Linked DNA regions of Cricetulus griseus. The protein of the gene in region 1 purifies or fractionates together with the protein of each later gene. This does not show direct contact. Links are inferred from orthologs where the notes say so. Each region holds a gene or a part of one and is shown in the gene's direction. Other genes may lie near its edges.

Region 1 (3,809 bases):
CATAGACAAAACACTCATACACATGCAATAATAAAGTAATAGTAATTAAACTTTAAAACAAAAATGGAACATAAATTATAAGGCCTGAACTTACATCAGTTTTGTGGCCTGAACTTTCGTTGTTCTATTGAATTAGGTTGAACCCCCTTTCTCCCTCTATGTGACATACACATAGCAGAGAAGCGTGGGCCTTGAGCAAACAAGACTGCTTTGCCCTGTAAGTGCATTATTTATTAACTTTGTGACTTTATCTAAGTCTCAGTTTGCCTGGTGTTGTGGTGATAGTGATTTAGACAGGGTCTCTCCGTGTACCACCACATGGACTAGAATTTGCCATGTAGACCATGCTGAATTTGAGCTTGTAGCAGCCATCCTGCCTCTGTCTTCAGAGTGCTGGGATTGTGGGTGTGCACCACACCTGCTTTCCTCTGTCTACTATTACTTTTTCAATTTCATTTACTTTTGAATTTTTTTAATGACACATAATGTGTCGTATGTCCGAGTGTGGATGAGTTTGTGCATGTGGGTGCAACGCCCGTCCAGGCCAGCAGAGACCTTCAGAAGAGGCATGGGTGCTGGAGACTAAACTCCAATCCTCTTCAAGAGTAGTGTGCACTTTGACCACTAAGCTGTCACTTATGTCTTCTCCTTGTCTGTTGTTAAACCCTATTTTGTAGAATTATTTTAAGGATTAAGTGAAGCAATTTTTGTAAAGTTTAATAGCTGATACCAGTTTTCTTTCTCTTTCTGTACCATTATACAAGCATAGTGTATTTAGTCTGTGGCCCAAGTGAATGGAATCAGTTTGTAATGTAACAAGAGATCCAGCAGTTATTAGTTGTTTGCTTTTGTTTGTCTCTGTGACAAATACCAGAGAGAAACAGTTAGCAAACATTTATTTTGACTCATGTTTCAAAAAGTTCAGTCTGTTTCCAGCGGCTGTTCATCTCATAGCTACCAGAAAGGGAGCAGAGAGAAGCTTACTGATTGGACCCCCAGATGCAGATCAGCCAGGCCTTCAGAAATGATTACACATATGTGCCAGATTCATGCAAGAACATTGATTCACAGCCACTGTGTTTATGATAACACCAAACTAGAAGTCCTAAGCAGTGTAATTGATTAATAAATTATGGTATAGTGTTAAAATAGAATATCCTACAGAAACGGAAATTAACATGATGTTCTGTACACAAGTCCATAGGAAGCTGTGGCCTACTAGCTACCATATCATCGTGTTATTTGTTTCTGTAGTATCTGAAGCTACTTTCTATTTCTAAGCAGATCTGAGTAGTTGCTTCAGAGACCCTATATTGCCACAAGGCCAGTATACCTGTTTTCCATCCCTTTACAGAGAATTTTTCTGGCCTCTGTCATAGATGAATTTCATACACATAAAGCTGATTGACAGAGTACTATTTGCCAGAGGATTGTGTGGAGAGGATCGCTCATTGCTATGGGTTTTCTGTGGTGAATGATAAAAGTATTTCCATGGAGTTGAATAGTGGTGGTTGATCAGCAAGCCTTGTAAATGTACTGGAAGCGATGGGTTGGTAATCTATAAAATACTGAATTTTATAGCATGTGAATAATAGTTTAACAAAGAGAATAGAAAGCAGGCACTATTAACACATACTGTGTAATTTCCTATGCATGCAATTCAGACAGAGCTAGTCCCACATGCTGGAATTGTACATAATGGAAACCTTTGCAGGAGTGAACAGCTAGCGGGGTGCTAGTGATGTCACAGTGCTCTTGGTATATGGGTGATGTTTACTGGAGTTTATTTTGTGAAAGACCACTAAGTCTCTATTTACGAATTATGTAAATTTTTATGTACAATAAAACAACTTTTTGTTTGTTTTGAACAGTGGTTTATTGTTTGTTTAAACATGATGGCACATACCCTAATCCCAGCACTCATGAAGCTGAAGCAAGAAAATCACAAGTTTGAGACCAGACTGGATTATATAGAGGGATGTAAATTAATAGTTAATTAAAAACAAACAAATCATACTCCCTTAGAAGATAAAGCCAGCCTGACAGTGGTGGCACATGCTTTTAATCCCAGCACTTGGGAGGCAGAGGCAGGCAGGTCTCTGAGTTCAAGGCCAACCTGGTCTACAGAGCAAGTTCCAGGACAGCCAGAGCTACATTGAGAAGCCCTATCTCCAGAGTCTTCTGAGTGCTGAATTAGACATTCTGTAGGCTTGCTGCTTAGAAATATTCTGAGGACTAGGTTCCCTGATGTCTGTGCAGCTGTGTTGTATGTTCTCCTTCAAGGCTAGTTTAGAAAGAAGAGGAAGGATGCTTACATTGAGATTAAGCTATCTCCCTTGCCCTGAGCATTGACACTTACTTTGCCTTAATTGCAGTAACCTCCTGGAGCACTAGCAGCACTAGCATACACCACCTGTAATCCCTGTGCCTTGTAGGTGGAAGCAGAAGCATCGGGTACTCAAGGCTGGCCAGGGCTACATAATGGAGACCCTGTCTCAAAACAAAACAACAGGTCAGGCACAGTGGTGCACACCCTTAATTTGAGCTCTCTGGAGTCAGAGGCAGGTGGATCTCTTTGAGTTCAAGGACAATCAGGGCTACATAGTTGAGACCCTGTCTCAGAAAACAAACCAATGTCTTCATATCTTCATGTCTCTAGGTGGGTGAATCGTATGCTTTTAAAAGTAAACCCCTTCTCTGGTGTTGCTGAGTCTCCTTTCTCACCAGGTGTACGTGACTGCTGAGAGCCGCTTTAGCACCCTGGCAGAGCTTGTCCACCACCACTCTACAGTGGCCGATGGGCTAGTGACCACACTACATTACCCAGCACCCAAGTGTAATAAACCGACCGTCTATGGTGTGTCCCCCATCCATGACAAATGGGAAATGGAGCGAACAGATATTACCATGAAGCACAAACTTGGGGGTGGTCAGTATGGAGAGGTTTATGTTGGCGTCTGGAAGAAATACAGCCTTACGGTTGCTGTGAAAACACTGAAGGTGGGTTGCTGAGTGCTAAGTTCCCAGGCATGTCTCTGTGTGTGTGTGAATCACTTGGAAAGATCCCTGTGCCCTTCTTCAACTTTGGAACACTTTCCACCCACTGGTGCCAAACACTTCAACAAATTGTGGTGATTAACCCTAGTGCTGTTGCTGACAGTGCAGGGGCAGATTATTCTCAGCAGTACAGCCCACGTGTGGGGAAGGCTCATCTCTGGAGGCTGTTGGTATAGATCATAGTGGAGATTTAGAAGGAAATTATAAGTTCTGCCGAGAACAACCCCCGCTGAACAGAATGCTCCAGGCGGTCTACGAATAAGCTCCCTATTTTGGTCTCTATCCCCCCTGCCTTTTGTTTCTCCCTTCTGCCTCCTTGCAGTTAAGAGACACCCTTTTTAGTTAAAGTGAAAATGACAGGGGGTCACTAAGTAGTCCAGGTTGGCCTTCAAGTCATGATTCTCCTGCCTCAGCCTCCAAGTGCTGAGCTTACAGGTATGTACTACCACACCCTGCTAGATAGATCACTTCTTGTTTTTAAATTCATAAAAGTCCTTTTCCTGATCCTACTGTCCCTTTGAGTGTCATGGTATAAAATCATAGATTGTCAGTAATTCATATGAGATGTTCTCATGGGTAGTAGTCAGCCCTGTTTACATATTCTGAATGTGAAGGAAGCAGTGAGGCCTTGCACATGTGCTTTGTTCTTTAAGAAACATAGGATTGGGGCTGGAGAGATGGCTCAGAGGTTAAGAGCATTGGCTGCTCTTCCAGAGGTCCTGAGTTCAATTCCCAGCAACCACATGGTGACT
Region 2 (4,296 bases), on another chromosome or scaffold:
GTTCTCTTTGATTCACCTTCCTTGTAGTGATTTTCCCATTGCCCCTAGGACCCTGACACTGCATTTCCACTCAGAGGGTCCTTGGAGCAGCTGGCACCACACACAGGACTAACATTTTTCTGCAAAGGCAGGGGGTTGCCTGGTAGTCCTCCAGTGTTACTGCTGTCCCCTGACCAACACTGGCCTGGGCTCCTCTGCTCTCCTTGGGATCTGCATAGCCGTGACCCTGAAGCTGACCTGGCCAAGCAAGACTCCGTTCCTGCCCCCCCCCCAAGAGTAACTTCCTTTATTGTCCCCCCAATAAAGATAGGCTTCATATGACAGCAGCAGCCCTCCCCACTGAGCCAGGAGCTGGGGAACTCTTGAGCCAGAAACATGTTGGGGTCTTGCCCCTCCTAGCTATCGCTGGAGATGGCATCTTCCCAGACTTTCTCAGGGCCATTCCTGGTGTCTGCCTCCCAGATTCTAAAGACTGGAATAAAACTCATCCTTGGACCTTGACCAGTGTGTGTCTGCTGTTCTCTTAAAAGGAATCAAGGCTTTATGGGGAACACCTGGGACAGACTCTTCTGGGGTCCCTGTTGTTCAGAACATTGTGACTTAGAAACGAGCCTGGGCCCAGAGCTGGAGTCTACACGTGGTGTGGCCCAGGCAAACAAATGAAGCACATGGCCTTGGATGAAGGCATGCCTGGAGGCCAGGTCATGTCTGCACCTGCCCCAGTCACTTGGCAGATTGGCAGGCAGGCTGGCAGGGCCTGTGTGTGGGAGGCAGCTAGCAGCAGCACCATGTGCTGACAACCTCACAGCCACACTCTCCCCTGGTTAGCATGAGTGTCAGAACCACCCCCAGAACCTCAGTTAAGCAAAGGGTTTAGTTTCCATGGAGACACAGCATCCTTTCTCCATAGCAACCTGAAATCACAAAACCCAAGTTAGGTTCAGGAATGAGTCATCTGTGACCAGTAGGGGGTGCTCTCCCACAAGGGTGACCCCCTCCAAGGCAGAAGCAGATGAGCAAGTGACCACAGACTTCTTGAGGTGACACAGGGGTGAGACTTGGGCCTGTGGGAACTTGGTCTGCCCTGTTTAACTCCTCCCTACCCAGCTGCATAGTGTGAGGTTCTATATGAGGAAACGCTGTGTGGAGGTGGTCCTCCCACAGCTGAGGCCCTAATAGTGACACTAACATAAAGGGGGCCCCTGCCATTCAAGGCTGGGCCCAGAATAGAAGTGGACACTGGCCACATGGAGTGGACATACAAGAGTTAACTGGCGGGGCGTGACAGGGTGAACCGCCTTCAGGAAGTGTTACTCACCGCTAGGAATGTGCCCGCCTGTGCCTTGGGGGTTGGATTCTCTTCCTGAGTCCCAGGAGAAGCTGAAGGAGCTCCTAGCCATGGAAGACCCTGGGGATACAGAAGCACACCCTTTGGGAACTGCCAACCTAAACTTTGTTCCTGGGCACCAACAGAAAGAAAAGTTAGTGAAGTTGGGAGGGCAACTGGGTGCAGGGGGTGAGGGCAGTGACAGGAAGGTCTGGCAAAGACAGATGGATAGGTGGGAAGCCCAGGACGGGGAAGAGGTGCTTGCCCAGACCCCTGCTCAGGTCTGCGTGTCTGCCCCCAGTCCATCTCCAGACCCTCTGTATGACACGCCTGACGCCAGCAGGGCACAGGCAGGCGGGGCCCAACAACCAGCACGCACCGTGAGTCTGCGGGAACGGCTGCTCATCACCCGGCCGGTGTGGTTACAGTTGCGGGCCAACGCTGCAGCCGCACTACACGTGTTGAGGACAGAGCCTCCAGGGGTGAGTCTTTTCCCTTCCTCCAGGACTGGCTCACCAAGGGTGGGAGAGAAAGGGCCTGGACATGGAGGCATTGAGCCTCCTAATCCTATTCACTTGCAGACCTTCCTGGTACGGAAATCTAACACTCGCCAGTGCCGGGCTCTGTGTGTGCGGCTGCCAGAAGCCAGTGGCCCCTCTTTTGTCTCCAGCCACTATATCCAAGAGAGCCCTGGTGGTGAGGGGGCTGGCCTGGCGGGAAGGGGCTGGAGACAGGCTGGGGAGGGAGGTCCCCAGAGAACAGCCTCACTCCCAGTGTCTCTCAGGCATCTCTTTGGAGGGTTCAGAGCTCGTATTCCAGGACCTGGTTCAGCTCATCTGTGCATACTGCCATACCAGGTGAGTCTGCCTACCTGCCGGGTACCTGATGACCACACGCCCTGCACCTGAATACCACTTGCTCTTGACTGCTCCTTGTTATGACCTTAGGGACATTCTTCTCCTCCCACTCCGGCTCCCCAGAGCCATTCATCAGGCAACCACCCACAAGGAGCTGGAGGCGATCTCCCATTTGGGCATGGGTAAGCGTTCCTTGCAGCCCATTGTACAGACGGAAACATAGACCAAATGGGGAAGAAAGGGCAACCAAGTTCTTTCTTTGTGGGCACCCTCCAGAGCCAGCTCTGAGGCTCCCATTGGTTTCTTTTTGCCAGAGTTCTGGAGTTCCTCCCTTAACACCAAGGTTCAGCAGAGGCCTTGTGAAGCCCCACCGATACCCAGGCTGAAGGCTCGCTCCCCTCAAGAGCTGGATCAGGGCACTGGTGCAGCCCTCTGCTTCTTCAACCCCCTCTTCCCAGGGGATCTGGGCCCCACCAAACGAGAGAAATTCAAGAGGAGTTTTAAAGTGCGTGTGTCCACAGAGACCTCCAGCCCTCTGTCTCCACCTGCTGTGCCGCCTCCCCCAGTCCCAGTGCTGCCAGGGACTTCTTCCAGCCAAACAGCAAGATTGCCTCCTCGACAGCTGCTGGAGAGGGAGAGTTCAATGGGGTATCGGGTGCCAGGGAGTGCTTCCGGCCAGAGTCTTCCTCCCCTACCTTCACTTCAGGAGGCCGACTGCTGCTCCCCCAGCAGCTCAGAGGAGGAGGGTTCTCCCCGAAGCCCTACCACCTCCCCGCGCCTGGGCCGCCCAAGGCAGCGGCCGCCTTTGCTTCGGTCCATGAGTTCTGCTTTCTGCTCTCTGCTGGCACCGGAGAGGCAGGTGGGCCGGGCAGCCACAACGCTAATGCAGAACCGATACACAGCTGTGGGTCAGCTAGTGCAGGACCTACTGACCCAGGTTCGGGCTGGTCCGGAGCCCCGGGAGTTGCAGGGCATCCGCCAGGCCCTAAGCCGGGCCCGGGCCATGCTGAGTGCAGAGCTGGGCCCTGAGAAGCTGCTACCACCGGAGAGGCTGGGTAAGGCCCCAGCCCTGGCCTCCACAGGTTCAGTTCCTGGCTCTCCACCCTCCCTCACCCACCTCTCTCCTTGCCTTGGTGCCTAATGATGGACTCCTGGTTTCCTTACACCCCACTTCCCCCCACTACTTTTGCAGTGAATTCCATGCCCCACCCCTCTCCTACCTCCTGTCTTGACCAGGGCCTCCTGCTCTTCCAGGCCCCTTCCCCCTGACTGTCTACTCTCCTCTGGCAGAACTGGTTCTGGAGAAGTCCTTGCATCGCTCTGTTCTCAAGCCTCTTCGACCTATCCTAGTTGCCCGCCTGCGGCGGCGTCTTTCCGCAGATGGTTCCCTTGGCCGCCTAGCTGAGGGCTTCCACCTGGCCCGGACCCAGGGACCTGGAGCCCTCGGGTCCCACCTGCCCCTCTCCTACCCAGTGGAGACGGAACAGGTGCGCCAGAAACTGCTTCAGTTGCTTGGCACCTATTCACCTACTGCCCAGATCAAGTGGCTCCTGCAGGCCTGCAAGTTGCTCTACACAGCCCTGAAAACCCAGGCGGGTATGACCCTCACCACCTTCCCCTGCTCCAGCTCTTTCTGAGTAGAGACTGAACCCCCTCTCTCAGGGAGAAGGTCCCAGGCCCCCAGAACTGCAAAAGGGCAGAAGGATCCAACCCTCCCGTCTCAGGGGTTCTAGAGAGAGGAGTGTCTTTCTTCCCTGTGGTTGCCATGACAGTCCGGTCCTGTCTAGGGGGTCTAGCAGGTGGTGGGAGGAGTCACTGTCTAGAACAGGGGTTAGACCCTAGCCTTTGGGCCTCTGAGGAGGCTGGAACGCCTTCCTTCCCATTTTTCCACAGGGGAGGATGCAGGCGCTGATGAGTTCCTGCCTCTGCTGAGCCTTGTCTTGGCTCAGTGCGACCTTCCTGACCTTCTGTTAGAAGCTGAGTACATGTCGGAGCTACTGGAACCTACCCTGCTCACCGGAGAGGGTGAGGGCACCCTCACTTCCTGTCCAGGTGGAACTGAGGCTTCTTAGTCGCTAGCAGGTCCTGAGCAAGTAAGGAAGGGAAGGCAGG

The links.
Region 2: the proteins of Abl2 (region 1) and Rin1 purify together in Homo sapiens (co-immunoprecipitation; 3 studies listed by BioGRID and IntAct, counting the BioPlex papers as one, with this or other methods). This does not show direct contact. The link is inferred for Cricetulus griseus from reciprocal best matches to the Homo sapiens genes ABL2 and RIN1.

The regions. Positions count from the first base shown.
Region 1 is NC_048598.1:35,227,467-35,231,275, reverse strand, and holds part of Abl2 (tyrosine-protein kinase ABL2), read left to right. Parts: intron 1-2,727; coding exon 2,728-3,000; intron 3,001-3,809. UniProt on the Homo sapiens protein: Non-receptor tyrosine-protein kinase that plays an ABL1-overlapping role in key processes linked to cell growth and survival such as cytoskeleton remodeling in response to extracellular stimuli, cell motility and adhesion and receptor endocytosis.
Region 2 is NC_048596.1:54,234,311-54,238,606, reverse strand, and holds the start of Rin1 (ras and Rab interactor 1), read left to right. Parts: upstream 1-1,323; 5' UTR 1,324-1,326; coding exon 1,327-1,481; intron 1,482-1,628; coding exon 1,629-1,809; intron 1,810-1,908; coding exon 1,909-2,023; intron 2,024-2,111; coding exon 2,112-2,184; intron 2,185-2,274; coding exon 2,275-2,366; intron 2,367-2,498; coding exon 2,499-3,239; intron 3,240-3,474; coding exon 3,475-3,780; intron 3,781-4,077; coding exon 4,078-4,236; intron 4,237-4,296. Other genes in the region: Brms1 (breast cancer metastasis-suppressor 1), read left to right, coding at 49-56. UniProt on the Homo sapiens protein: Ras effector protein, which may serve as an inhibitory modulator of neuronal plasticity in aversive memory formation. Can affect Ras signaling at different levels. First, by competing with RAF1 protein for binding to activated Ras.